Pelodiscus sinensis: one gene and its partners. Each later gene encodes a partner of the first gene's protein in a complex. Links are inferred from orthologs where the notes say so. Each region holds a gene or a part of one and is shown on either strand. Other genes may lie near its edges.

What was found.
Region 2: OGT (region 1) and THAP1 share a complex: the UniProt entries of both Homo sapiens proteins name them as parts of the THAP1/THAP3-HCFC1-OGT complex. The link is inferred for Pelodiscus sinensis from reciprocal best matches to the Homo sapiens genes OGT and THAP1.
Region 3: OGT (region 1) and PHF20 share a complex: the UniProt entries of both Homo sapiens proteins name them as parts of the NSL complex. The link is inferred for Pelodiscus sinensis from reciprocal best matches to the Homo sapiens genes OGT and PHF20.
Region 4: OGT (region 1) and THAP3 share a complex: the UniProt entries of both Homo sapiens proteins name them as parts of the THAP1/THAP3-HCFC1-OGT complex. The link is inferred for Pelodiscus sinensis from reciprocal best matches to the Homo sapiens genes OGT and THAP3.

What each region holds. Positions count from the first base shown.
Region 1 is NW_027466001.1:364,295-372,051, reverse strand, and holds the start of OGT (UDP-N-acetylglucosamine--peptide N-acetylglucosaminyltransferase 110 kDa subunit), read left to right. Parts: upstream 1-4,725; 5' UTR 4,726-4,834; coding exon 4,835-4,871; intron 4,872-7,757. Other genes in the region: TAF1 (transcription initiation factor TFIID subunit 1), read left to right, coding at 1-66, 325-478, 1,169-1,346, 2,593-2,809. UniProt on the Homo sapiens protein: Catalyzes the transfer of a single N-acetylglucosamine from UDP-GlcNAc to a serine or threonine residue in cytoplasmic and nuclear proteins resulting in their modification with a beta-linked N-acetylglucosamine (O-GlcNAc).
Region 2 is NC_134716.1:3,815,796-3,823,425, reverse strand, and holds the start of THAP1 (THAP domain-containing protein 1), read left to right. Parts: upstream 1-4,526; 5' UTR 4,527-4,677; coding exon 4,678-4,748; intron 4,749-5,534; coding exon 5,535-5,736; intron 5,737-7,398; coding exon 7,399-7,630. Other genes in the region: transcription factor JunD-like, read right to left, coding at 528-1,700. UniProt on the Homo sapiens protein: DNA-binding transcription regulator that regulates endothelial cell proliferation and G1/S cell-cycle progression.
Region 3 is NC_134728.1:32,241,666-32,248,909, reverse strand, and holds the start of PHF20 (PHD finger protein 20), read right to left. Parts: upstream 3,047-7,244; 5' UTR 2,891-3,046; intron 1-2,890. UniProt on the Homo sapiens protein: Methyllysine-binding protein, component of the MOF histone acetyltransferase protein complex.
Region 4 is NC_134733.1:24,452,127-24,459,318, forward strand, and holds the start of THAP3 (THAP domain-containing protein 3), read left to right. Parts: upstream 1-4,063; 5' UTR 4,064-4,142; coding exon 4,143-4,219; intron 4,220-5,802; coding exon 5,803-5,995; intron 5,996-7,192. Other genes in the region: PHF13 (PHD finger protein 13), read left to right, coding at 1,363-1,589. UniProt on the Homo sapiens protein: Component of a THAP1/THAP3-HCFC1-OGT complex that is required for the regulation of the transcriptional activity of RRM1.

The DNA of each region.
Region 1 (7,757 bases):
GACTCTGACGTAGATATTGAAGGGTTTGATGAGGATGAGGATGGGAAACCTAAGACTCCAGCCCCAGTGAGTATATATACAGAAATCCCATCTGTAGTCTTTGCATCCTCATGATAGAAGACTTCATAGTGCAGGGAAAGTCTGCTGGGTCTGGCACTCTCGGTGACCACAGAATCCACAGCAATGACAAATCAGATAGTTACCTGAAATCATAAACCTGTCAATATAATAACAAATGACTGAGTATACTGCCAATGTGCCAGATATGTCAGCAGCTTTGTGTATGACCTTTGATCTATACCATTCCCATTTTGTGTGATCTAGGAAGTTGAAGATGGGGATGGTGACCTTGCTGATGAAGAAGAAGGCTCAGCACAACAGCCACAGGCTAGTGTTCTTTATGAAGATTTGCTTATGTCAGATGGGGAGGATGATGATGATGATGGGAGTGATGAAGAAGGCGATAATCCCTTTTCATGTAAGTCCTAGTCTTTCAATCACAGCACTGAGCAGGAATCAGTTGTTGCCAAACCCAGCCAATTTCCATGCCCTAAAACTTCAGTAGCATACACTGCAATATTTGATTGTAGATATACAAGACACTGTATACTCATATATTGGTTACAAAGTTTAGATGTTATGGTGCAGTTACAAAGGAGATGTCAAGAGCAGGAAGAAAGAACCAGATGAATTTAGATGAAGACTAAGATGCAGTGAAATGCTAACTGTAATCAGGAGAGAATGTTGGGTGTTCACACCCGATTCAGATGGTGGAATTCTGAAGCTTGGAAGAAAAGAGGCTGCAGTTCAGATGCAATGCTGAGGGATACGTGGTCTAAGCGGAGCTGCTGGTGCAAGCTCGCATGAGATTTGGATAGTAAACATGAAACATGGGATCCTGTTGTGAAGGACTGGAAAAGGGCACTGTTCAAGCTGCACAGGTTGTCTGATACAGAACACAAGGTGAAATGGATGAGTAAGAGGAGGCAATTATTTCAGTGCAAGAGTGACAGATAAGATGCTGTGTGGAAGATAGATGGTTCTTGTGAAAGAGGCAATTATTATTGAAAACCAGATAATATTGCAGACTACAAAAGTATGCAAATCAATCCACCAGGTAAAACAGCTGTCAAGATTAGTAAGAGGCTCTTTTCTGTTTGTTGCACAGCTATCCAGCTGAGTGAAAGTGGCAGTGATTCAGATGTGGAGCCCACTGCAATGAGACCAAAACAACCTCACGTCCTTCAAGAGAACACACGAATGGGCATGGAGAATGAAGAGAGTATGATGTCCTATGACGGAGATGGTGGAGAGACCTCTCATGTTATGGAGGACAGTAATATCAGGTAATCAAAGTAGAGAATAATAGAAATGTAGGAATGCAAGCTGCGAGGCAGTGGCTTCAAGTTTTTTTTTTTCCTTGACAGCCAATTGAAGAAAATTGTTGATGCCCATGACCCAACATAATTATCTTGTATCTAGTCTGTGGTGGGACTGGGGATGTGGGATTTGGGTGGTGGCCCTGGGTTTGGGGGGTATCCCAGGGCTGGTGCAAGTAATTGGGGTGTAGAGTTGGGGCATGGGCTTCCTTCCAGCAGCTCCTGGTCAATGGCACAGTGGGAATGCAAGCGATGTTCTAATTTTTTCCATCCACGTGTGGAATGAATTTTATGTGCACAGGGTGTGACACAATCCTCGCTCAAGCCCTTTGCCCTGGGACCTCTTCTGGAGTCATAAATCAACCAGAAACCCTTTCTGGTGCAGTCACCAATGCCTTTTATTGTCAGTGCCAATTTCCCACCACCTTCTATTTACAGAGCTTTTGTTCACAGTAACCTCAGCCAGCCTCTCCTCCTGCCTGAGGTGCACACTCATGCTGACTTCTCCCCTGTGGCTGCTTTATATAGCCTTCTGGCTAAAGAGGCCCACAGGAATGGGCTCACTCAGCTGTAGTGGCAGAGCTCTGGCTTAGCCGGCAGACTGTCACAAGGGGCATGCATGGTGGTTCACCACCAGTAGAAACACTGCTAATCAGTTGGGCAGTATTTGAAACTCTCCTGCACAGCTTACAGGGGACACTGGTGCTAAGGCAGGCTCCCTGCCTGTCCTGGAACTGTGGACTCTGTTGTGCCCCATAAGTGGCCAATAGCAGGTCTGGTTCCTAGCAGGTCTGCGCAAGCGGCTCTGTGTCCTGCTCTGATCTGCAGGCCCTGCCTCTCTGTTCTCATTAGCCGGGAACCCGTACTTAGGGTGGGGGCTGCTAGCGGAGTCCTGTGGCCCCCTGCCAAAGTGTCACACTTGCCACTGGATACTTCTGGGGTGCAGTGTAGTATGATGCTGGGACAGTCAGGAAGTCTTATTTAGAATGCCTGCTGTTTACCTGGTCACCCTACAGCGAGTAGGGTGCCTTACACAGTGCCTGACATTGCTTTACTCAGTTTTGGGTTGTGATTCGTATTTTGAAAACCACTGCTATAAGGGAATCTTTCAGTTACCAAGTCCTGACATTTTGAGCAGCTCTCCAGACTCTCTTGTTTTTTTTGGAAACAAGCTGAAAGTGTGTTTGTAATGATATTCCATTCTTTCTTTTAGTTATGGCAGCTATGAGGAGCCAGATCCGAAGTCCAACACACGAGATACCAGTTTTAGCAGCATTGGAGGGTATGAGATCTCGGAAGAGGAGGAAGAGGAGGAAGAACAACGATGTGGGCCAAGTGTGTTAAGTCAGGTTCATCTTTCAGAGGATGAGGAAGATAGTGAGGATTTTCACTCCACTGCAGGAGACAGTGACCTGGACTCAGATGAATGAGAGACCCTTCGTTACCGAGGGATGTAGCACTCGGTGGCCTGGATTTAGATGAATGAATTTCCATCTTTTTTTTTTTTTTTGGTACTAAGGGACTGTGCGCACTGTTAATTTTGAAGCATCTTATTTTTCTTGTATAATTTCAATGTTCATAGAATTTTTACAATACATTTATTAAGTTATCTGAATTGTGAATAACAAGATTTAGACAAAGATAACGTGCTGTGATTTGTGCAGCAATCCAAGGGTTCTAGTTACTGAGTATAACTACAGGTTTATAATCTGGTTCACTTTCCCTTATTCTTTTCAGATACACACTGAAAATTTCTTACATATATTAGGCTGGTGTTTAAATACCTTACATTGATCTTTGATATGACTGAGTTAACCAGCCCATACATTTGTTGAAGAAATAAACAATTGAAGAAATATACAAAACTGAGTAAATTTGATTTTTGAACATTTAAAGCATCTGTTTTCTCAGTATTAAAGAGGGCATGGCCCTTCATATTTTCTGAAGTGTTACCCCAAGTATTCAGAAAGTCAGGCCCAAAAGCCTCTATGGATGCTTTCCCTGAAATTCTGCCTACACTAGTTGCTTGAGTTAATGACCTTGAACATCTTATTCACAGGAAGAAATCTTCTGAAGCTCCTTACAGTTTGTTCTAGAAATTGCTAACCCGTCGTCATGCAGGAGGAGTTCAACAGGAATTTCTCTAGGCTTTACTTGTGCTTTAAACTATCTGAGTTCATTTTATTTTTGCTTTAATCTAATTAACAGAAATCATAGAACCATGTAGGAAGTGCTGTAGAGCCTCCTGTTCCTCTGCTGTATAACATATTGGATTAATCCTGAAATTATATCAAGATTTTGTGTATTTTGACTATTTCATTGTAGGATGGTGTTCTGTTTCATTGTCCTTAGATTTTGCAATTACAGGCCTTAGTGCCACTTGTGATTTCATAACCACCTTTGCCAGGTATGGACTTGCTCTTCCTTTTATGGGACAAAAGGGAGAATAGATTGTTCACCATGAAATTTAAAATCGGATGGGTTTAGCTGCTACAGTGAATGCTGATCCTGTTCTGTTCTTTCAAATTCTGTCTTCCTTGGAACAATCCCCTTGGTACATATCTACAAAAGGTAGTTGCCACAACTCCACTCAATTATAAATGATGAATTTCCTGACCTGTGTATCTAACTCCTCAACATGTCACATGATCCATTGCCATAGTGTCAGTAAGTGAAAGAAAGGAACTTGCACGGGGCTAGTGCAGGCATTGAAATACCGTTGTAAGGGCAGCGCGTGTGTAATACTCAGTGGTTACACCTGAAACTCTGCCCCCCCGCCCCCGCCTGCGCAGAGACGTGGTAGGATCCGCCTGCAGCCCCCTCACTGCCGGAGCCCCCCGGCCCCATCGGTCAGGCAGGAGGAGGCTGAGGCAAGAGGCGTGGCCAGCCGCCTCCCAGACACGTATCCCGCATGTAGCAGCTGCCGCGGCGCCCCTCCCTCCGCCTGCTCCTAAGCTCCGCCCCAGGGGCGGGGCTGCATCTCCCCTGGCCTGCTTGAGGCCCCCGGCTCCGAGGTGGCTGCGAGCGCGAGGTAGAAAGGGTGGCGTCGCGTGACGCATGCGCGATGAGCGCTCATTTGTCGCAATGGTCTCCTGCGGAAGGATACGGATCAGATGAGTGACAATTCTCAGTAGGGTTCTACGGCTCACTAATGAGAGAGTGCACCGAAAGGAGGCGAGAGCGCGAGTTAGTTCTAGAAACTCATCTGTCGCAACTGGGTTTGATAACGCCTAGGATTCGATCCCTTTTCCTACGCGGACTATTTTGTGTAAGGAAATAGATCCGGCAGGAGCCATACGCCTGACGGGGTGCTTCCTCCGCCGCTGCCGCCATTTCTGGAGCCGCCGCCTTAGCGAAGAGGGGGAGGTTGGGTCGCTGTGGTCCGGCCGCTGGGTCGCGTCGCCTGGATCTCTCCGCGCCCGGGGGAGCCCCGCCCGCCCGCCCGCGCGCCCCCGATGGCGACCTCTGTGGGGAACGTGGCTGACAGCACAGGTACCGGCCCGCGGGCCGCCCGCGGCGCTGTGGGTGCGGCCGGCGCTGGCGGCTCCGGGCCTGTCCGCGCGGGGTGCCGGCCGGCTGCGGCCGTGGGCTGGCTTGTGCCGCGAGCCGCCCGCGATGAGGCCGCGTCGGGCGCGGCGATGCGGTGCGGGGGGACGTGCCCGAGGCCGCTGGCCGGGCTCAGCCGCCGCCCCGGGGGCTCGCCGCGTCTCTCGCCCCCGCCCGGATGGGCGCCACTCGAGTTTCTTCCGCGCTGTCGCCAGCATCCATCGCCGCTTTGTGGCGGCCACAGCCAGACTGCGAATCGCGCCCAGTCCCGTTGTTTGCCTTTTCTGTTGTCAGCTTCCGCTCTCATCATCGCCTGTAAAGCGGCACCGAGCGCGTGTGGATGCGTGGGAGAGCCGTGATGTAGTTCGCACGTGTGTGAAAAGCGCTAAGAAATGTGCCTTACAAATACTACTTAGGAAATGTCTGGAACCATCTTCCGACCCCATCTCCTTAGTCCCAAATCAGTTTTTCAGATCCTTTTCTGTATTTTCAGGAGTATGCACTAAAGTGAACCTAATACTTTATATCATAAATTGATAGTTTAATGGGAAAATGCTTTTAAAAACTGCTGTTAAGATCAAATCTTTCACAAGAAAAGTAGCTTTATCTTATGTTTTCTATGCTGGTGAGCACTTCATAAAATAACTTCTTGCCACAGGAGGCAATTAAATTATTGTATTTCATCAAGGTATTAAAGTCTGGGATTCTTCAGAAAAATTTCAAATTAGTGTACTTATACTGAACAATATAAATAATTGTTAGAGTTCTTTATGTGCATGAGGGAGATTCTTCCTACAATCTACTATCATTCATTCACTTTCAAAACTAGTTTGACTTGCAGTGGACTCTAGGGAAGGGATTAATTGCAAGAGTACACATTTGTTGAATAAATTGGAATCTATATATATCCATATAAAAGAATAGAGCTCTGATCTAGCTGGCCACCCCAAATCCTCCCAATACTTGCATATAGGACCAGATCCAAAATTTTACCGTTGTTAGTTGACACTAGTGTGCCTGAATTTAATTGGTGGGGAGAAATTGCACATTTTTTGAAAGTTTTGACAAAATGAAGGAAATCTGAGTTTGGATTTTTCTAGCAAGCTGAGGACAGTTGAAACAATCTCCCAAATTTGGAACAGAAGTAAAACATCTCTCATCAACTTCCTTATATCTGTCACCCTCAAAGTCTCTAGCCTTAAGTGCAGTTTTAAGCTTGGAACTTGGATATTTGCTTTTTTGGCAAATTGGGGAGAGGAGAGGTTAGAAATTTGTATTGAAGTATCAAAGCAAACAAGTAAATCAGGTTATTTTGTTTCGCAGTTGTGTATGCCATTTCAGTTTTTCAATCTTGTTTTAAGGGTGAGTAATAGTACGTAGAAATTGATTTCCTCCTTTTAGCTTTTTTTATCTTTATTTCTGGCAATAGAAGAACACTTCAACAGCATAGATTTGGAACAAAAATCAGACACCAGCTATTTGAAAGACTAAAACTTAATCAGAGGTAGCACTAATGGAAACTGGGTACCCAACAGTATGGTCTATAGGTAGTCTTTCGAAGCCCTCCACTAGATCAAGATCCTGGAAATATAGGCAGTCCCTGGGTTACGTACAAGATAGGGACTGTAGGTTTGTACTTAAGTTGAATTTGTACTTAAGTCGGAACTGGTGTCCAGATTCAGCCGCTGCTGAAACTGACCAGCTGCCCACTACAGGAAGCCCGAGGCAGAGTTTCTCTGCCCAGGGCTTCCTGGAATCAGCCGCTGATCAGTTTCAATAGCAGCTGAATCTGGACGCCTGGGACAGAGCAGCTGGGGTGCTGCTGTGTAGGTCCCTGCAGCGCCGCACCTCGGTGCTGCGGGGAGCAACCCGGCAGCACCCCACCTGCTCTACCCCAGGTGTCCCCAAGTCAGCCGCTGCTGAAACTGATCAGCGGCTGATTCCAGGAAGCCCGGGGCAGAGAAACTCTGCCTCGGGCTTCCTGTAGTTGGCTGCTGGTCAGTTTCAGCAGCGGCTGACTTGGGGACGCCTGGGGCGGAGCAACTGGGGTGCTGCTGGGTTGGTCCAGTACCGCCGCTCCTAGGCGCTGCTGGACCAACCCAGCAGCACCCCAGCTGCTCTGCCCCAGGCGTCCCCGTCAGCCGCTGCTGAAACTGACCAGCAGCGGCTGAATCAGGACGCCTGGGGCAGAGCAGCTGGGGTGCTGCCGGGTTGGTCCAGTAGTGCCGAGGAGCGGCGCTGTGGGACCAACCGGCAGCGCCCCAGCTGCTCTACCACAGGCGTCCGCGAGAAAAGCCTGATCATCTGGGGGAGGCGGGGCTGCACTAGCTGCGCCGCCACCCTCCCCCCCCCCCCCCCCCGCCAGCAGACCATGGAGACGCAGGCGGCGGGACCGAGACGCGCTGCGGTGCCGCCGCCCAGGTCCTCTGCGGCTTTGCTCCGCGTCTCCCTGGTCTGCTGGGGGGGGGGGGGGAGGCGCCCCCCCCCAGCAGACCAGGGAGACGCGGAGCAGCTTTTCTCGCCCCGGAGGACGTGGGCGGCGGGACTGTGGCGCGTCTGGGCGGTCCCGCCGCCCGCGTCCTCGGGGGCGAGAAAAGCCCCGTTCGTAAGTACGGATCCGGCTTAAGTCGGATCTGCGTAACTCAGGGACTGCCTGTAGTTTCATAGTCCAGAGTCCAGTTTTCATAGGCTGTGACTAGTAGGTATACACATTTAAGGTTTCGCTTATTCTTTCATCTTATTTTGGGGGTTTGTTTGCAAATAATTTGAGCCAGTCTTTTCTAGGAGTTTTTTGTAGGAGTTTTCCCAAGGTATGGGGTAACACCTGAGGGA
Region 2 (7,630 bases), on another chromosome or scaffold:
GATTCCTTCTAACCTAAGTTGTGTGGCAGAATCTCTCTCAGCGAAGGCTAGATTTAAAACTAGGCCCATTCAAGTGCTTTACTCGCAGGGCTTCCCTATCAGCTGCAAATGAAAAGCTGCTCTGCAGCAATACAATCTTAAAAAATTCCTTTCACTGCTAAGAAAGAAATACACTGCCACATTTTGTTTTATACACACACACACAGACACACACTTTTTTTAAAAAAAAAAAATGTAGAATTTGAGCTTTTTCAAGCTGGGAATAGACAACTCTGAATCAAGCCCCGCTCCAGGGGGGTTAGAAAGAACGCCTCTAGCAGGGAAATAAAGTGGACTCTTTGTGTAAACAGCGATTCTTTCAGTCCTGGGAAAGCTGCACGGCGCGCACACCAGCCCCTTGCCTGGGAACTAGCCGCGCTCAGCCGGCGTGGCGCGCAGCGTGGCTCCCCCTCGCCTTCCTTCCAGCAGCTATGGGGAGCCCGTCAGTCTCGCATCCTCCCAGGCACCTCGGGGAAGGCGGGCGGGCTTCAGCAGGCGCTGGTCTGCGGCGCGGCGGGCTCGGGCGGGCCCTCGGGCGGCGCGGCGGGCGGCCCGGCGGCGGCGCTGATGTGGCAGCCGCTGGAGAGGTGGCTGCGCACGCGGCCCTGCAGCTGGCTGACCTGGGCGCGCAGCAGGCTGGCGGTGGCGGCCAGCTCGGCGTTCTGCCCCTTGAGCGCCTTCACCTTCTCCTCCAGCCGCGCGATGCGCTCCAGCTTGCGCCGCCGGCACTTGGAGGCCGCGATGCGGTTGCGCAGCCGCTTGCGCTCGGCCTTCAGCCGCTCCTGGCTCTCGGCGTCCAGCGGCGACAGCGAGGGCGGCGTCGGGGCGCCGCTGCCGGCCTCGCCCGGCGGGGCCGCCTCGGGCACAGTCTGCGGCTCCTCCAGGGCCCTGGCGGCGCCGGGCACGGGCAGGCGGCCCAGCCCCGGCGGCGGGGCGGGCGAGAAGGGCAGGCCGGGCGGCGGGGCGGCCGAGTAGGAGCCCGCCGGGCTGAGCGGCCCGGCCGGGTTGAAGCTGCCGAGGTTGGTGTAGACGGCGGGCGGGTCGCTGGGCGGGCGGGCCGGGCCGCAGGGCGCCGGGGAGAGCGGCGCCGCCAGCAGCTGGTTCTGCTTGTGCAGGTCGGCCAGGGCCTTGACGAAGCCGTCGGCGAAGCCCTCCTGCTCCTGCGTCACCGGCTGCCGGTAGAGGAAGGGCCCGGCCGCGGGGGGCGGCGCCGGCGGGGCGGCGCAGGGGCTGGCGGGGCCCAGGCCCGGGCCGCCCTGGATCAGCAGCTGCTCTAGGTCCGCCGCGGGCGGCAGCTTCAGCAGCGGCAGCTCCGCCGAGGACCCGGCCGCCAGCAGAGCCGCTTCCGGGCCGCCCCTGCCGCCGGCTCCTCCCCCCGCGGCCGAGCCCGGGGGCGCCGCGGCGGGGCTGAGCCTGAGCGCGGCGGGGCTGCGGGCGCTGCCGCCGGGCGGCCGGAGCGGGAAGGAGCCCGGCAGCGCCAGGGGGCCCGCCAGCTCCCGCTTCTTACCGGCCCCGAGCAGCAGCTTGTGCCCCGCCGCCTCCTGCCCGGGGCCGCCGAAGCCGGGCAGCGGGACGAAGTCGGGCAGCAGCTCCAGCCCCTCCTCGGGGTAGAACGGGGCCTCCATCTTCACCGCCGCCCGGCCGCTGCGGCCGCCGCTCATCCTGCCCGCCCGCCCGGCCAGGGGGCCCGCCCCGCCTCCGGCCGCAGCGGGAGCAAGGGGAGCCCCCGCGGGGGCTGCGGGAGCGTGCGCTCGCCGGGGGCGTCTGGGGGGCCCTCCGCCCGCCGCAGCCCTGCGCCCGGGGGTCCGCGATGGAGGTGGCGGGGGCCGGGCTCACCCCTGGCAGGCGGGTCGGCTCCCCCCGGGGGCAGCGGCAGCCTCCTCCGCCGCCCAGGGCTCCGCGCCTTCGGCTTGTGGCATTTACCGAAACTCCTACAGGGGAACTGATGTCAAACCCCCTCCCAGCGGCAGCGCCGCCTTCGCGCCCGCTCTCCCCGCCCCTCCGCCGGCCGCGGCGCGCTCTCCCTCCCGCCTGGGCATGGGAGCGCACACGGCTCCGCGCTGGCAGCTGCCCACACGCCCGCCCACGCTCCCTCGCTGCGGGCTGCACAGCGACGCCAGCTGGGAAAAGGGGCTGGGTCAGAGCGCTGCCCCTTGCCGCGAGCGGAGACTGTGTGCGGGCTGGGGTGGGGTCGCGCCCCATCGCCTTCGCGCCCCGCACAGGCTGGGGCGTGAGTCCCTGCCTGTAACGCGCACCTTTCCAAACTCCGTAGCCTGCCTCTGAGCCCGTCTGCATCCCTCTAGAGTCCCAAGGAGAAACCCAAGGAACAGACCGACCCACGGCCAGTGGCGGGGGACCGTAGGGCTGAAATAATCGCCCCCATCTGACTTTCTTTGCAGAGAGTACGCCAAGGAAACGCGCAGGTTGCATAATTAAGCGCTGAAACATCAGGACGTGCCAGATTAAAATTTTCATCTGCCACCATAACTCTGCCTGTTGCCCTCACACCGACTTTAATTACCTGCTTTGTTGTGTCTCAACACAGCCTCTCAGATTTCCACTAACCTTGCAAAGGGCATTTTGGAAAGTTTATAGGGAATGAGGCAGTGCAGTGCAGCTGCACTCCCCTAGCAGATCAGGTAAAGTGTACAGTGAAACAGGCTAAGGCGGTGCAGAATACCTAGCCTTAGCCAGTGTGTATATTGTATGCAACTGACCGATGAATTCTTTACTATACTCAGGGTACAACAAAATATAGCAGAAAATGCTAAATGTGTGTTCAAGGTTGTGTTTAGTGGGGAAGTAGGTACTTTTGAGCTGTAGGAAAACGGTGTCCTCAGTTACTAGGATGGGGAGGGGAGTTACCATTAGTTACAATCTCTATTTAAAATTCCTTGGGTCAGGGGGACTGATGTGGCCCTGACCAAACTGTTGATAGCTCCTTGTGAGCCACTGTTTACCATCCTTAGCTGGCTGAATGAATGAACCTCAAGTCTTTGTGACCCACCCATTTAATATTAGGGATGTAAAATTCCATTAAAAATGTTAACCAAGTTAAACTACATGTTTAATTAACTGACCTGTGACTGGGAGGGTGGGGGGCATTGGAGCAGCTCCCCATCCATGGCAGGGCATGGTGGGCCCAGCCATGGATAGAGGGCTGCTCCCGGCCAGGTGGGGTGCAGGTTAACCAGTTTTCCTTGTAAGCAGGCTAGTTAGGCAGTGCTTTACATCTCTAATTAATATACCAATTCTTTATTTCCCTATGATCCACGGACCCCTACCACCAGAAATCCCTCCTTCCTTGCTTCCCATCACATTTCCTCTATTCATTGGGCTTCTTGGCATAGTTCATTGCTTTTGGCCTAGAGGAGGCTGGCTGGTTGAGCGTCTCCGTAGCCACACGGCTTACATTGCCACACATCTCTGGGGTGTTTGACTATGCTGCTGTACCTCTCCTCCCACTGTTCAGTCCTGAAAAAGTATGGATGGGTGGGGGGGAAGGAGGAACTGAAAGACAGGAACAGTGGTGGGTAACCTGTGGCCCAATGGGGTTCTGTGTGTGGCCCACAACAAATTTTAGTGTTGCCCATGGCAAGATTGCCAGATTCAGCTGTTTTCTGTGGGCATAAGTTGTCCCCCTGCTCCTATGTATTACTAAAATGATATGCACAGGTATTCACTGTCTTTTTTCTCCCCTTTTTCCCCTCCTCCCCCTCCCTTATTTATTCTTGGATCTGGACTTTCAATACTCCAGTCATCTGAAGAAGTGAGCCCATGAAAGCTCATGATACAATCGACATGTTTTGTTAGTCGTTAAGGTTTAGACTTACAGACTATGCATTTACGTTTTTTTTATGCATGGGTAGGTGAAGCGAGGTGTGCGCAGTTGCATGCACTGACTGTGAAAGCCCTGCACACCCACTGCATCCAATCAAAGTGCTGCTAGAGTCCACTTGGCACACCCCACAAATTCTAGGTAGACAAGTGCAGTTACCAAAATCTCCCCTATCTTGGGAGACCAGGTGGATTACAACAAATCTGCAGCGCACTCAGCTGAAGGAGGGCCGCTCATGCAGCCGGGTCAGGAGCCTAGGCTGCCCCTCCCTGGGCAAGAAGGAGCCCTGGCCTGCCTGATCTTTCCCACCTCACCCAGGGCAGAGAGCAGCCCTAGTAGCTGCAGGGGAAGGGGCAGAATTTCTGGCCAAAGGCACTGGAGCGAGACTCCGCAGCAATGAAGCAGTCTGGACACCGCCTGCTGGCGCACGCTGGAAGCACAGGGACCCTGCTATCCAGATGTGTGAGCGAAGGGAGGCGGGGCAAAGGATAAGGCGGAAGCTGGGCGAATGGGGCCCCGCGCCACACGCGGAGCCTCGACGCCTATTGGTGGGCTGCGCGAAAAGGCTCCACCCTCGCGGAGGGGAACGGCCAATGGAGGCGAGCGAGGCACTGGTATCGCGAGAGTTCACCTGAAGCTGGCACCGCCATCTTGAAGTCGGGAGAGGCCGTGTCCCCTTTCTGCTCCTAGGGGCTAATAGAAAAGGGATGGGGGTCGGGCGGTAACTGGCGGTCGCCCGAGTCCTTGCACTCGGCCCCGGCGTGCTCCGGAGCGGGGCAGGCGGCCGCCGCCGGGGGAGAATGGTGCAGTCCTGCTCCGCCTACCGCTGCCGGAACCGATACGACAAAGAGAAGCCTATCTCCTTCCACAAGTGAGGACAGGGCCGGAGCGCGCCTGCGCGGGGCGGGAGCGCGCCTCGGCGGGAAGGGCCCCCGGGGGGGGGGCGGGGAGTAACTGTCACTGGCGAGCAGCCCAGAGCGCGTGCGCACCGGCTGCGGGGCGGCACGCGCGCACCCATAAGGGGGCGGGGCTGCGTGGGCACGTGGGACCCGTCGGGCGGGGGAAAGGCAGGAGGGAGGGGCCGCTGGGAGGCTGCCCCGCCCCCTCCTGCGAGCCTGGTCCGGCCCGCGGGCCGGTTGCCCGGGCCTGTTGTCCGGCCCGCGGGCCAATGAGGGGCAGGGCTGGCCCATCTGCCCCCAGGCCTGGCTTCAGCTGCCTGCTGGGCTCGGTGTGCGCCTGGCAAAGCCCATGAGCCGGCCTGGCAGTGACCATGCCCCTCCGAGTCCGCCCGCTCCCTGTCCAGGCCTCCTGGCCACTTGTGCCTTGGCCAGCCCCACGGCAGCACCTGCTTGTCAGTTCCCCCGAACCGTGCAAAACCCTGTTCTGCCTGCGGACACTGGCCCCTTGCGCCCCCCCATTGCGCCCCTATGCCCGCCGTAGGTGTATGCGCTGGCAAACCCAGCCAGGGCGCTGAATGTCGCAGGGCCAGCAGGCTGCCTCTCTGATCCCTGTTTGTACAGCAGCTAGCACCGGGCTCCTTGGCCCCGCCATGCCGACCAACCCTGAGTGCTGCACCCGTGCCTTTTGTATGCCTGCAGTGCTGTCGCTTTTCCTTAGAAAGCGGTTCAGTGGCGCTGAAAGTCCATCTCGTTTGCAGGTTTCCTCTCACCAGACCTGACCTCTGCAAGAAATGGGAAGCTGCTGTTAAAAGAAAAAATTTCAAGCCCACAAAGTATAGCAGTATTTGTTCAGAGCACTTCACTCCCGATTGCTTTAAAAGAGAGTGCAATAACAAGCTACTGAAGGAAAATGCTGTGCCCACGATATTTTGTTACACTGAACCCAGTGAGAAGATAAAGGTAACGTGAAAACTTTTTCTTATAATACTTTAATTTTTGTTACTCAAATACTGCAATATATGCATTTTTTTAATACAGAGAAGGGAGAAGAACCGTGTTAAGGAGATCTGGATTTTGTCTGCCCCTTTGTGTTTTTGCATATTAAACAGAGAGCAGGACAACTTTGAAGGGTCTAGAGGAGAGAGCGGCCAACTAGGTTAGTGAGTAGGCCCAATGAGTGACCCTCCTGCATCTCAGTGGGCCATGAGATTGTTGTAACCAAGATGGTCTTCCAGGATAGGGTAGTTTTGCTAACAGTGTTTGTGTACCTGACTGGTCCCGAACAAGGGAGTTTGCCAGACCAGGGGAGATCAATTCCAGCCTCTTGGCCTCGGCTCTCCCATGGGGTTGCCAGCCTCCCAGCTGGGCTCCCTTCCTGACCCTGCCAGCCCAGCTCTGCTGCCAGCTGCCAAGTTCCTGGTTGCTGGACTCTCAGTGGGCCCCAGCCATCAAGGCCCTCTGGTCCAGCAACATCCATGGTCCTGCCAGACCATGGATGTTGCTGGACCAGGGAGGTTCAACCTATATATGCAAAACGACAGGTGTAGGTGAGATACAGCTCATGTAGATGTCCTTTTTGGGTGATATTTCTGAAGTATTGTCCCATTCATGCATCATTGTGGAATTTTAAAACAAATTGATACATTTAACAGTAATATGTCAGCAGGGCCAAATGACATTTACTCAGAATGTCTGAAGGAATTCAGAAAAGAAATGCAGAACTACTAACTATAGTATGTAACTGCTGAAAAAGCCTATGTACCAGATGACTGGAGGATATTTAAAACAGACTCCGGAGGCAATCCTGACAAGTAAAGGCTGTTCAGCCTACCTTTGCTACCAGGCAAACTGGTAGAAATCATAGTAAATAACAGAATTACCAAGTGCATAGATAAACATGATTTGTTGGGGAAGAGTCAACATGGATTTTGTAAAGGAAAGTTATGCTTCAATCTATTAGAATTGGTTGAGGGGGTCAACAAGCATCTGTGAAAGGACGTCTTGGGTGGTTTAGTGTATTTGAATTTTCTGAAAGCCTTTGGCAAGATGCCTCACTAAAGGATTTTAAGGAAATGAACTAGTCCTGGAATAACAGGTCGGTTATGGATCAATAACTGGCTAAAAGATAAGAAATAAAGAGTAGAAATAAATGGTCCATTTTTGCAACAGAGAGAGGTTTCGTCAAAGAGCTGTGCTGTTCAACATATTCATTCATGATCTAGAAAAGGGACTGAATGGTGAAATGACAACATTTGCAAATGCAAAATATTCCTGCAAAATAGTTATGTTCAAAGCTGGCTGCAAAGTGTTACATAGGGATCTCCAAAAACTGGGCAGCAAAATGGGAGACAAAATGCAATACTGCTGTGTGCACAGAGATGTACATTGGAAAAATAATTCCACCTATACATGTATGATGGGATATCTAATTGAGTTGTTAACACCTGAGAGAGAGTTCTTGGAATCATTTTGGATGGTTCTCAGAAAACTTTAATGAAGAAGTTCTTAGCTGTTTTTGCTAGTAATGGATATGCTTATTGTTGTTTACAGACTACAATCTGGTGATTAGATGGCCTATTCCCAAAACAGATTAAAATGTACTTTTTCTCTTGCTGTTTGTAGACTGAAGAATTTACAGAGCAACCTGAAGATCTGTCTGCAGTACCACCACCCCCTCCACCACCACCTCCTTTGCTACCACCTGCTCCACCACCATCTTCCTTTCCTGCGTCTCAAATAGATGCAAGATTTGTAGATCCAAGTGTTGGATTATTAATGCCTCCTCTCCAGACCCCTAGTAATCTTGCCGTTTTCTGTGATCACAACTATACTGTAGAGGATACAGTACATCAAA
Region 3 (7,244 bases), on another chromosome or scaffold:
CTCTCCTCCCTTTCTCCCCCCTTACCATTGTATCTGCCTGTATGAGAGCCGGCAACCAGGGGGAAAACCAGCTTTAAGCTTGCTTCTTGCACTAGCCGGTTCCCGCGGAGGCCCCTGTTCCCCACCTCCCCGCTGCCTCCAGAGCAGCCCCAGTCTGTGGGGAGCTTGGTTGTTCCACAGACAAGGGCTGCTGCCATCCCACACTACTGCCTCTTCATCAGAAGTAGCAGCGCAAGGTAGCAGAGAGCTCGGACCGCACTGGATGCCAGCCCCCCCCCCCCCCCCGGGACTATTTTAATAACCATGTAACTACTAAAAACTGTTGCAGCTATACAATTACTAAAATACACGGTATCTAACATCCCTACGTCAAATGCCCTTGCTTTATGTGAATATCACTTTACTAATAATTGGTAGGAAAAAATCTACATGAACGAAAACCAACAGAATCTGGCAACCCTGTGTGTAGAGAACGATAAACAAAATGTCTAGCAGGACACAGAACCCCAATGGGCAGCATGCTGCAAATGGCCCTTCAGGAAACAAGGCATGAAGAACAATAGAATTTCAGAGAATGGAGTGCAGGGAATGTCAACTTCACTTTCTACCATTTAGCTATTGTATTTAGCGAGCAATCAACACCTTAAAAAAAATAAAGATTTTTTTTAACATCCCTCTCAGATATCCCTTTAGTTTGGATAAGACTTGTAATTTCTATACGCCAATTCAAATTATTTTTCCAGAGCCACATAACATTTAATGCTACACATTAATTTGGGAGCATAGACATACTTTTCTATGTGGTTCTCAAAAGTCAGTTAACTGCCCAGAGTGAAACGAAGAAAAAAATAAGCAGATGCATCGCTTTCACATTGGCTGTGTCTAGACTGGCATGATTTTACGCAAATACTTTTAACGGAAAAGTTTTTCTGTTAAAAGTATTTGCGCAAGAGAGCATCTATACAGGCACGTGCCTTTGTGCAAAACATTTGCTTTTGCACAAAAGCATCCGTGCCAGTGTAGACGCTCTCTTGCGCAAGAAAGCTCTGATGGCCATTTTAGCCATTGGGCTTTCTTGCGCAATAAATTAACGTGGCTGTCTACACTGGCCCTCTTGCGCAAGAGGGCTTATTCCTGAGCAAGAGCATTGGAGTATTTGTGCAAGAACCACTGCTTTTGTACATTACAAATTCAGTGTTCTTGCGCAAATAGTCGCAGCCAGTGTAGACAGGCGGCAAGATTTTTGCACAAAATGATTCCAGTCTAAACGCAGCCATATAGTATTACCAATACAATTACATTCTAACCTAAACTACCTGTGTTTCTAGTAGGGATGTAATTGTGTAGTCAATTAACCAATAAACAAAAGATTATAGGTTAATGCCATATACTACATGGATTTCCCCCTCCTCCATCCCCACCAGTAAATTTTTAAGCAGGCTAGCCAGCAGCCAGGCTCAGTCCTTGCTTGCACCAGGTCTGGGACCTACCCCTGCTACAGCTCTGCATTTGAAGTGCATTAGGAGCCAGACAGGCAGCCCAGCTCAGTTCTGACTCACACTGGGTCCAGGAGCTCAGACCCTGTCCCCCACCCTCTCACAGGGATTGCTGCCACTCTGTGCTGCTACCTGTAGATCAGAGGCAGCAGTGCAGGGTAACAGGCAGCAGGTCCACCAGGGAAACTGGTTTTTAAACTGCCTCCCCTCATGAACCAGCTCCCACCTGGCACCCCACGCTGCTGCCTCGGATAAAGAGGCAGCAGCGCATAGTGGCCGAGGGCTTCTTGGGAGTAAGTCACATTGGCTGCTGGCCCTACCCCCAAGGACTACAGAATAGTCAAGTAACTGATAAGAATTCATGAGTTAATCGACTATTCAATTAACGGGTATTTGACATCCCTAGTTTCTAGTCTTTCTACAAGAGATTAAATTCTGCCAGATTTCCCAGTGAGTCTGTAAACCAACTTGCCTGATGAAACAATAGGAATGATTTGAATCCAAGTTCACTAGAAGTGAGAAACTCAGTGCAGACCCACTTTGCCCATTATTCTGACACGTGCAGTGTTACTTTCTGTTTCTGCTTTACTGCCTAACAAAAACGTCAACGTCTCCCCTTTGAGTGTAACTAAGTGCTTGTGTGCGCGACTCATTCTGAAACCCATATGGTTTTTACCAAAGCTAACGAAAGCAGCAGCCATTCACCAAGGTAGAAACAGAACCAAGTGTCAGGCCAGAGTTTTCCCCGGCCAGATTCCCTTCCCGGGACAAACAACGTTCCCTACGCTCGCTGCCGTTTTCTCGCGGAGACATGAGACCCCCCCCAGAGGCGCTTCCTGCTCCCCCAGGGCCTCCCCCCGCCGCGGTGTCTCGCCCAGGCGGAACGGAGCCCAGCGTCCCCTGCAGAGGCCGCGGGGCTCAGACACGCACGGCCCCGCGCCCGCTGCTCAGCCCGGTTACACAACCGCTCGGAGCCAGGCCGCACTGCCCGCCCGCTGCTCCCGGGCCGCGCGCGGCTCCATCCCGCCCGCAGCGAGCGGGCGCCCCGGGCCGGCCAGGCCAGACGCTGCAGCGGCTCCCGCCGCCCCGCGCTGCCCTCGGTTCCCGCCCGGCGCGCGCACCGGCGGCGGCCACGCGGGCTGAGGCGGCAGCGCCCGGGAGAGCCCCTCGCGCCGCCCGGCCCCGCCGATACTCACCTCCCCGCGCCGGGCCCCGCCCCGGGCCACAGCGGAGCCCCGCGAGCGCGTCCAGCCCGCGCCCGGGGCCTCCTCAGCCCATCCCCGCCCCTCCCCCCTTTGTGCGGCTGGGCGGACCCGTTCCGCGCGGGGCCCGGCCTCCTCGGGACGGGCCGCTGCGGGGCGGGGCCGGGCGCCCGGCCGCTGCCGGTGTCTTACCGAGGGATCGGCCGCGAAAGGGCGAGAAAGGAGCCAGTCACCGCCCGGCCCCACTCCCCGCGCGAGCCCCGCGCCACCGACCGAGCAGCGACACAAAATGGCCGCCGCGGCTGAGGCGCCGCCGCGAGGGAGGGGGCTGGCGCGGGCTCTCGGGGGAGGGGCGGGGCCAAGCGGAGGGGAGTGGGGCGGGGTAGAAACAGGGGTCCCCCCCCCCAGGGCGGGGCCTCGGAGGGGGCAGGTGAAGGGGCGGGGCCTCAACTGTGCGCCGGAAGGGGCGGGACGAGGCGGAACTTTCGCGGGTCTCCTTTCCCCTCCCCTTCCGGCACGTGTGAGGCAGGGCCCCGCCCTTCTCTGGGATGCAGGTGGCTAGCGAGGCAGCTGGCCGAGCTGGTACCATCCCCTGCTGCAAGCCTGACCCTGGCTTGCCACCCCCCCCCCCCCCAGGGATTGGCCGAAGAGCCCCTTGATCCTGAAGCAGCTGGGCCCAAGACATCAGCATTGCAGCACCCCACCCCGCAGGGCGTCTATGAGCTACAGCCCCGAAGTTCCCAACCCATCGACCCAACAGAATTCTTCCCCCCATCCTCCTCCTGTTTTTCCTGTTAGTGTTTCATCATGGAGGTGTTAGAGCACTGCAAATGGAGGAAAAGAGAAAGTGAGGAGAGACTGAAAGAAGGTGCGCAAAAACAGCTGTTCTTGGCAAAAACTTGCCCGGTATCTACACTGCACGCATGTTCTTGCACAAGTATATTTACAGTATAGCATTGTAAAACAGGGCATCTTCTGGAAGAGTTATTCTTCTCCCCAGGAGGGATAAGCCCTCCTGTACAAGAGCTCTTCCACAAGAGGGCAGTGTAGACAGGCAACATGAATTTCTCGCGCAAGAAGCCCCTATGGTTAAAATGGCCATCAGAGCTTTCTTGTGCAAGAGAGCATCCACACTGCCATGGATGCTCTTGCGCAAAAGCACATGCCAGTGTAGACGCGCTCTTGTGGAAGACTTTTTGAGCAAGAACTCTTCCGCAAAACAGTTCTTGTGCAAGAAGCTGCTAGTGTAGACATAGCCTGAGGGGGCCCATCACAAGAACTCAAATCTCCAACACAATACCATGCTGTAGTGAAGCTGAGTGACCTTCCATTGAGCTGGAGGATGAAGAGCCAACTTGGTGATTCCTAGTGGTCAGAGCTAAGCCAGGCTTGCCTCTCCCACCAGAACCCAAGGGATGAGAAAGACAGCCTAAAAGACAGAACCCTTGATGCAGTTGAGTCTGAGCCAAAGAAGGGAGTAGATGGCTTCCAGGCCTAGAAAAGAAGGGGAGAGAATAGGGCTACGTCTACATTGGCAAGATTTTGCGCAAATACTTTTAACGCAAGAGTTTTTGCGTTAAAGTATTTGCGCAAGAGCGCGTCTACACTGGCATGTGTTTTTGCGCAAGAGAAAAGCCATTTTAGCCAGCGGGCTTTCTTGCACAAGAAATTCATGTTGCCTGTCTACACTGGCCTCTTGCGCAAGAACACTTGTGCAAGAGGGCTTATTCCTGAGTGGGAGCATCATAGTTCTTGGGCAAGAAGCACTGATTTCTTACATTAGAATGTCAGCGTTGTTGCGCAAGAACTTGTAGCCAATGTAGACAGGTGGCAAGTTTTTGCGCAAAAGTGGCCACTTGTGCACAAAATCTTGCCAATGTAGACACAGCCTAGGGGTTTGCAGAGCCCTGGAGCTGAACCCACACTGCACCAAGCCCTGCCCCTGGAGGAGACTAGCCCAAGTGAGGAGTTGCCAAGTCTGCCATTTGCCACATATCCAAAGTGTGAAGTTGCACCCCCATATTTTTTATGGAACTATTCTTTTGAATATGAACAAGAACTCAGATAAGCTCTATGCAAACTGTGGCACCGTCACTGAAAAGCTTGCAATCTGCTGAATGTGTATATTCTACTGGCTGGACTTACTTGGCATTTCCCGGGAAACTGGAGGAACAAAATTTAGAAAAACAGAAATTGGTCCTGACAGCCTCCAACCACACTGCAGCTGCCAGTGCCTGACATCTGGCCAGTATGGTAGGGGGAGAGACTTTCAGGCAGTCCAGGGCTTTATAAAGCAGTGAGCAACCGACCAAATAGCTTGCAAACAGGTGAGTGCTAACAGCGAATTTAGAGAGGGAGTTCTCCAGGTAAAGGAGAAGCAGATACAGGACTCTTGAGGGGAGTGGTTGTCTGCAGTGTGTGTTGTGTTTGGGGCTTTCTTGCTGTGTGCTGAGCTTGTGTTTGTGAGCGAGGCTTTTTTTTTCTCCCTTCCCCTTTCCCCTCCCCCTCCCGGAGTGTGTGCTGTGACTGGCAGGTGGAAACTGTTGGCTTCTAATTAAAGTTTGAATTGTAGAAACCTCTGCTGATTGGCTGAGCCTTGGTAGGGGGAGGGACTTTCAGGCACTCCAGGGCTTTATAAAGCAGTGAGCAAGGAGCTTGTGAACAGGTGAGTGCTAACAGGGAGTTTAGAGAGGGAGTTGGGAAGGGGGCAAGGTTCTCTTGCCATTCTTTTAAATCCTTTTTCCAGGACAGCAGGTATGGATGGTGATGGGTCTGCTGTTGTTACCTGCACAGCGTGTGCAATGTTTGTCTTCCTCCTGGAAGAAAGAAGGGATTTCATCTGCAATAAGTGCAAGCTGGTCGCCATTTTGGAAGAAAAAATTAGAGGACTGGAGGCCCAAGTGTAGCCCCTACACTTGATCAGAGAGGATGAAGACTTCCTTTATAGAAGGCAGAGTTTAATCCTGAAAGCAAGGCAGGCGGAGGAGCCAGAGAGGGCAGCACAAGACCAGGAAGAGAACTGGTAGCATGTAACTTCTAGAAGGAGAAAAAGGCCAGCACAGGAATCCCCCAGTGCTATAGAGGTAAGTAATCGCTTTTAAGCTCTCTCCACAGGCTCTGCAGTGCTGAATGCTTTGGAAGGGACCTCACAAACAAGAAACCGGAAGGGAACACCATCTACTGGAAGGCATGGGATGTGTAGTCCTAGGGATGGGGGTTCCACAACCATCAACCCCAAAACAAGACAACAGGTGGTGGTGATCGGGGACTCCCTCCTAAGAGGGACTGAGCCATCCATCTGGCTCTCAAGAGGTGTGCTGCTTACCAGGAGCTTGAATTCAGGATGTGACTGAGAGGCTTACAAAACTGATCAAACCTTCAGATCGCTACTCCTTCCTCCTCCTCCACGTGGGAACTAATGATACAGCCAAGAATGAACTTGAGCAGGTTACTGCAGATTATGTAGCACTAGGAAGACGGATCAAAGAATTCGGAGCGCAAGTGGTGTTCTCATCCATCCTCCCTGTTGAAGGAAAAAGACTGGGCAGGGATCATCAAATTGAGGAAGTAAATGTCTGTTTGCACAGGTGGTGTCTCAGAGAGGGCTTTGGTTTCTTTAACCATGGGACTCTGTTCTGGGCACAAGGATTGTTAGGAAGAGATGGGATCCATCTCTTAACGAAAAGAGAAAGGAGCATCTTCACGGGCAGGCTTGCAAACCTAGTGAGGAGGGCTTTAAACTAGGTTTGTTGGGGGACGGTGACCAAAACCCTGAGGGGAGTGGGAAAGTCGGATACCGGGAAGATATGCAAAGAGGAACAAGCAAGAAAGGAGGACCCCTGATTCTAATGGAGAAGATAGGGTGATCAACTGGTTATCTGAGGTGTTTGTACACGAATGCGAGAAGCCTGTGAAACAAACAGGAAGGACTGGTGGCCCTGGCCCAGTCCAAGAAATATGATTTCATTGGGATAACAGAGAGTTGGTGGGATGACTCGCATGACTGGAGCGCTGTCATGGAAGAAAATACAGGACTATGTAGCACTTTAAAGTGCTACATAGTCCTGTATTTTGTTTCAGCTACACCAGACTAACACGGCTACATTTCTATCATTATTCTGTCATGGAAGGGTATAGACTGTTCAGGAAGAACAGGCAGGGGAGAAAAGGAGGAGGAGTTACACTGTATGTAAGAGAGCTCTATGATTGCTCAGAACTCCAGTATATGGAGGAAGGAAAACCTGTTGAGAGTCTATGCGTTAAGTTTAGAGGTGCAAACAACAGCAGTGATGTTGTGGTTGGTGTCTGCTACAGGCCACCGGATCAGGTGGATGAGGTAGCTGAGGCTTTCTTCAGACGACTGGGAGAAGCTTCCAGATCACAGGCCCTGGTTCTCGTGAGGGACTTTAATCACCCTGACATCTGTTCAGAGACCACTTTTTTCTAATTTTTTGGTAGGGAAGTAGGGGATAGGCATTCTGGGTCTGCAAATTCTCATCCAATAGCTGAGTATAGGGATGTGTCAATCAATGGGGCTGGCCCTACT
Region 4 (7,192 bases), on another chromosome or scaffold:
TATAAAATGGGATAGTGCAGATCTGTATCCTGTACGGGTTGAGTGAAATTCACTGGGGTTTGCAAAGCACAGCCAGCTCTTTGGGTAGAAACGGATAGAGAAGACTAAGCACCTGAATTAAGTTGTCCAGATTCTGAGGTGAGGGTTTCTGTCCCTAGGCTGTGCTTTCTGAGAGGCCTAATGTAAAATGGGACAGAAGATTGGAAGCTAATATTGGGAGTAGAACCCTTTTGGTTCCATATTTACCTTTTGGGATTGCTGAGATTCTGTCTTGGAGCAAGGTCCAGGGGGCAGTACTACAGCTTCCAGCATGCCCTGGAAAGATGTTCACCAGCCTGCTGGATTTGGGTCCCAGCACTGGACCCTGAGCTCTCTTTTCCTGACTCTGAGCGGAGTTCAGGCACTGTTTCTGCACACGCTTTCAGGGTGCACGTTTACTTTGTAGTGCCCTTTTCTGAAAGCCTAGGCCTTGAAACGAGGTCTGTATTCCCTGAAACTCCCCAGTTGCTCTAACCATGTGGGCATTCTGGCTTCCAGTTCACTGCCTCAGGGACACGTGAGCATTGAAGCAAATGAACACACACATTTTCCAGCAGGTTTCTAACAATATTACTCTTTACTTAGACAGCACAAGAAACACCGATCTAGGCAAAATAAAAACCGCTACACACCAGTCCCTGCTTCACTTTTTTCACCACTTTTGAGTGTTCTTTGGGATTTGGATCAGCATCCTTTCAGGGTGTCCAAGATACTCCTCATGCAGCTCCTGGCTTCTTCATAATATGGAGTATCTTTCTCTCCTGCAGGCAGCTCCCTCCAGCCTTAGCTGGTACTAATTTCCAAAAGATCCTTCTACTACAAAAGCCATGCCCCTTTGTTGCTGCCTCCTGCCCCAAGTTTCCTTTGTCTCGCTGGCCAGCCCAGTCTGTTTTGAAGGGCTCTAACCACACCTCATCTCTTTGTTCCCTCCATTGGGGAAATTCCGTTCCTTCAAACTAATCTTCTGCAGAGATGGAGGAAAAATGATGCAGTTACTCCTTTGATCTGTTCAGGGGTTGGCAGGCTTTATTGACTGACCTGTTTATAGACCAACATGCAGGGTCTACTCCCATCTCATTTGCATAAGGAATATAAGGCAAGAACATGATACAGTGTATTATACAAGCATCAATGTACCGAGTTCATAATCACAAACAGAACTTCTAGGCTACATATTGATAGATTCCCCAAATCATCACAGAGCTGGTAGGGACTGCCTTCTTCTATCTAAACCAAGGAGGAAATTCAGCACCAAAAGGGAGAGGATGGCATGCAGCAGAAGGAAAGAAGTCATAGTTTTAATTCATTGTTTTTTCCTTCCAGATGATGATTCCTGGGATCTTGTCACCTGTTTCTGCATGAAACCTTTTGCTGGACGGCCAATGATTGAATGCAATGAGTGTCACACCTGGATCCACCTCTCCTGTGCCAAAATCCGCAAATCAAATGTGCCAGAGGTGTATGTATGCCAGAAGTGCCGGGACTCCAAGTTTGATATTCGCCGCTCAAACCGCTCCCGGACAGGTTCGCGCAGGCGCTTTCTGGACTAGCGGAGGAACTACAGAGATGGCTTACTGCTCGGGCAGATGAGCCATGCAAAACTCAGAACTCCAGCCAGGGGGGCAAAGAGAGCTCCTCTGAACTGCAGTTGGCTCAGGCAAAAGTGACAGTGTGAACAGACATGAGGTGTTCAATGTCTGAGTGCCAGGGCTGGGAGAGGCCTGCTGGCCAAAACTTCTGCTAGAGGCTGATTATCTATAGCAGGGACGTACTAAATACCCCTGGTTCAGTGGGGTTTTGTCAAGTTCAGACTGTGAATGGGATGATCATTTGAGAATACTGCCTTTGCCGCCTATCAATGTTCATCCTACTGGGAAAGCGCTAAGCAAGTGCAAGGCTTCTAGGTGCTGAAGAAAATAATCATCCTCCGAAGCAGGAGTAGGAGGACGGAAATCTCTGGAAAGTCTGAAAGTAAACAGCCATACATTCTAGTTTCACTGTAATACTAGACTTGCCCATTGGTCCAAAAGAATTTCTGAAGGCTCCTTCAGAATGAGCTTGAATGCACACTGAACTCATGTGACCTGCCTCCTCTTCAGCTGGGTAGCGGGAGAGTATCCACTCACTTCTATGATTTGGCTTTGTTTCTGGTAAAAACAGTAATTTCCCACAGCTCTCTGGATTGTTGGCTTTAAAGGGGAGACGCAGGGTTTTCTTTGTTTCCTGGGGAGGGAAGGAGGGCTGTGCTGGAAGTAGACATGTCAATTTTCTTCCTTAATTGAGCTGAGTCCTCTTAAAATCATTGTCATGATTGTGTTTTGCAAGAGCAGCTCAAACATAAGGTTGTTCTGTGCTTCCATCCACTCTGTTCCACGGCCCCGTGTGGTGGCTCATCTCAGACAGAAAAGCATTGTTCTGAGACACCAATTCCCTTCCCTCCTCCAGCCTGGAAGTCGAGCTTGGCTACACAGTGGGCCTTGAAAAATTAAAACCTGGGAATTCAGAATGGCCTGGTTTGGATTTGGGCGGTTCCCATGTGAGCACTAGGGCTGGAATTACCTGCATTTTTAATACTGTTTCCTGAGCTGGATTTGTAAATGGGAAGACTAGAAAATCTTTCAACAGGTTTGTATGCCCCTCTACAGATAGGAGCAAATGCATGCAGTATGGCATCCAGCCCAACCCTGTAGAGGTGGCCTGTGCACCTGGCAAGGTGGGCTGCAGTTGAGAGAACACTCCAGAGCTGCAGAGGATAAGGGAATGCATCAGCACCAGAAAACGTTCCTATCTCGTGACTACCCTTTTAGGTAGCAGTGAGGGGACAGTGGACGCAGGGCTAGAGAATGTTTCAGGGAAACGAGACTAGTATATGAGGCCACTGAGGTGTAGGCGCTTTCCTTCTAATGACCAAACTGAAAATATATTGTATTTATTGCACAAACTGGATATTTGTTCTTGAGAGAATTCTCCTAAGTTGTATGATGCTTAATGAACAATGGACGTTCTGTCCTGTCAGCCTATTAGATGATCTGGAGTCACTAGTTGGCATTTTTTTATATCTGAAAGAAGACAGAACTGCCAGGAATCAATGCAGCAGATGATCTGTATCAGACTGTCGCCTTATTGAATACTGATTTATCAGGAAATACATCCTGGCAGTGTCAGGGACCCTCCTTGGGACACTTAACACGAGGCTACACAGATCACTAGAACAGCCTGTATATCACTGCCCTGCAATGCCCAGGGGCTTGATGAGATGGGACCATTACTATAGAACGGCACTGTTTTATTTCACTGTCCATTCTAAAACTTGGTGCAGTTTGAAAAGCCCATCAAGTGAATTTGATTTCTAGATGCAGCAATTGAAATCTAATTTTATAAACAGCTCCACTTAAATCTAAGAGAGTGATGACACACTACATACCAGAAACGAAATGGACCCAGCACTTTGCCCAAGATTTGCCTGGTAGGGCTGTCTTCTGCCACCAGATAAATAACCAAAGTTCCCAAGTGTTGCAGATTTCACGCTGCAAGGTAGGCGGCTTTGGAAGAAATCTGCTCAGTCGTGTAAGGGTTTAGCCTGATGTCGAGGTGTCTGCAGTACACCTGGATCGCTGCAGGCTGAAAAGCAAACTGCTGCGTGAGCTGCCTGTCTCAGCGGTCACCCCAGCCGGCGCGTGCCAGCCCGCCTGTTGCCATGGCAGCGGAAGGGTGTCCGAGCCCCCCCCCCCGTGACTCCAGTTCCCCGTTAGTTATTTCAGCGAGTGGCGCTTGTCTCGCGCGCAGAGCCCGGCACGAGCGCGGACCCAGCTCCAGCCGGCGGGAGGGGCCCGGGCGCAGCCGCGGGGGGAGGGGCGCCGCGGAGCGGTTTGACGGTGACGAGCAGGAGGGGAGGGGCAGGGCCCCTGGCGGCGCGATGCATGCTGGGAGCGGCGGCCCTTGCGGACAGTGTTTCACTCGCCGTGCCCGGGGGGCGGGGGAGAGAGAGACCAGCGCCCCGGCGCATGCGCGGGAAATCCAGCCCAGCAGGCGCGTGCGCCGGGGCGGCTCGCTCTGAGGGGCGGGGCGGCCATCTTTGTTGGGGGCAACGCGCGGGGCGGGCCATGCCCAAGTCCTGCGCCGCGCTTCGGTGCAGCAACCGCTACAGCAGCCGCTGCCGGCAGCAGCTCACCTTCCACAGGTACCGCCCCTCCCCCTCCCACAGGTACCGCCCCTCCCCCTCCCCCCTCCCCCAGGTACCGCCCCTCCCCCCTCCCACAGGTACCGCCCCTCCCCCTCCCCCCTCCCACAGGTACCGCCCCTCCCCCCTTCCACAGGTACCGCCCCTCCCCCTCCCCCTTCCACAGGTACCGCCCCTCCCCCCTTCCACAGGTACCGCCCCTCCCCCAGGTACCGCCCCTCCCCCTCCCCCCTCCCACAGGTACCGCCCCTCCCCCCTCCCACAGGTACCGCCCCTCCCCCTCCCCCCTTCCACAGGTACCGCCCCTCCCCCCTCCCACAGGTACCGCCCCTCCCCCTCCCCCCTCCCCCAGGTACCGCCCCTCCCCCCTCCCACAGGTACCGCCCCTCCCCCTCCCCCCTTCCACAGGTACCGCCCCTCCCCCTCCCCCAGGTACCGCCCCTCCCCCTCCCCCCTTCCACAGGTACTGCCCCTCCCCCCTCCCCCAGGTACCGCCCCCCCCTCCCCTCCCCCAGGTACCGCCCCTCGCCCCTCCCCCAGGTACCGCCCCTCCCCCTCCCCCCTTCCACAGGTACCGCCCCTCCCCCTCCCCCAGGTACCGCCCCTCCCCCTCCCCCCTTCCACAGGTACCGCCCCTCCCCCAGGTACTGCCCCTCCCCTCCCCCTTCCACAGGTACCGCCCCTCCCCCTCCCACAGGTACCGCCCCTCCCCCTCCCCCCTTCCACAGGTACCCGCCCCTCCCGCTTCCACAGGCACCGCCCCCCTCCCCCCTTCCACAGGCACCGCCCCCCTCCCCCTCCCACAGGTACTGCCCCTCCCCCTCCCCCTTCCACAGGTACCGCCCCCCTCCCCCCTTCCACAGGTACCGCCCCTCCCCCTTCCACAGGCACCACCCCTCCCCCCTTCCACAGGTACCGCCCCTCCCCCTCCCCCTTCCACAGGTACCGCCCCTCCCCCAGGTACCACCCCTCCCGCTCCCCCTCCCCCAGGTACCGCCCCTCCCCCTCCCCCAGGTACCGCCCCTCCCCTCCCCTCCCACAGGTACCGCCCCTCCCCCTTCCCCCTCCCCCTAGAACCGCCCCTCCCCCTCTCCCCTTCCACAGGTACCGCCCCTCCCCCTTCCACCGGTACCGCCCCTCCCCCCCTTCCACAGGTACTGCCCCTCCCCGGTACCAGCTCCTCCCCCCTCCCCTTTCACAGGTACCGCCACTCTCCCAGGTACCGCCCCTCCCCCTTCACAGGTACTACTCCTCCTGCCTTCCTGGTACTAGCCCCTCCCTCCCTTCCACAGGAACAGGTCCCTCCCCCGATATCAGCCCCTCCCCCCTTCCACAGGTACCGGCCCCTTCCACAGGGGCTGCCCCCCCACCTTTCACAGGTACCAGGCGCCTCCCCTTCTCACCTTCCAGAGGTACCGCTCCCCCACACCTGCCACAGTTACTAGCCCCCCTTCCTTTCATGTGCTTTCCACAGGGAGTAAAGTCCTGCCCCCCCCCCCCACATCTGCCGCAGGTACCAGGGTACCACCCCTTCCCTTGCTACTTTGGCTCAGGCCCTTCCCCACCTTGCCTCTCCCCTGCAGGTTCCCGTTCAGCCGGCCAGAGCTGCTAGCACGCTGGGTGGGGAATATTGGCCGTGGTGATTTCCAGCCCAGTTCGCATACAGTGCTCTGCTCACAGCACTTCCAGCCCGACTGCTTCAGCGCCTTCGGCAACCGCACCAACCTCAAGCCCAATGCCGTGCCCACCCTCTTCGCCTTCCCCTGCACCGTCTCGGTGAGCCGCCAGCTGGGCCCTAGCCGTGCTGCAGGGAGGGGGCGGGGCAAGTGGTTAGAGCAGGGCCATGAAATGGGCAACTTATTGGGCACTGCAGTCCCTCCTTTCCCCTTCTGTACAATGGGCACAAGAGAACTGAGCTCACCCTGTCCTCTCCCAAAGCATCACTTTTTCACAGGTCATGTGAGCTGCCTCCGTGTCCCAACTGCTTTGCCCCTTGGCTCAGTGAAGATGCTGCTTCCTGCTATTTGTTTGCTTAGGGAGGTTGGAGAGATTTAAAAGCAGGTTAGATAAACACCTGTCAGGGACGGTCTAGATCATGTCTGGGCAAAATAGAGCCTGCCGGCTGGATTTGGCCCATGGATGCAGCAGAGAGCCTCAGGCAGGTTCCCTGCTTGCCTCACCTCACCCACACACTGCTCAGAATAGCAGCTGCTGGGCCGTTTCTCTTTCAAAACTGTGAGCCTGGAGGGGATGAGGGGGAAGGGTTAAAGCACTGCCCCCCACCTCCCCACACCCCTGCCCAGCACAATCCCCTTGGCTGGTTTCTGGCATGAAACACCACATCCCCCGCCTCTCCGGCTGGTAGTTATTACACTAGGGATGTGAAGGACTAGTTGACTATCAAGTAAGTAAATACTTATTGGGTAGTTGAGTCGACTAGTTGATTCCCCTGCCTCTTGCTGTCTCTATCAGAGGCAGCAAACTGGGGGGCAAGAGAGGATACTTCAAAGCAGCAGCGCCGCACGGAGCAGATCCTGGGCTCCATGTGGTGCTGCCCCTTTGAAGTACTGCACAGAGCCCGGGATCAGCTGTGCAGCACTGCCCCTTGCAAACGCCGCCACGCCATTTCCAAGCGACAGCGCTATGTGGAGCCTGGGGTCAGCTTGGGGACTCCCTAGCTGACCCTGGACTCCCTGCGGCAGTCCCCAGCTGATCCCAGGCTCCAGCATGGCATTTCAAAGCACAGAGCCCGAAGTCAGCGGGACTTCCCTCTGGCCCCGGGCTGCATGCGGAGTTCCACATTCCTCCTTTGAAATGTGGAAGTGACTATCAACTATTGATGGAAATTCCATCAATTACTAAATTACTCATTGGTTAACATCCTTAATTCACACACGCACATGGTCCTGCAGCCTGTGTGGGGGTGAAGCAGGCTGCATGCCTGAGTCACCCAGGTAAGTCTCCTGGCCAGCC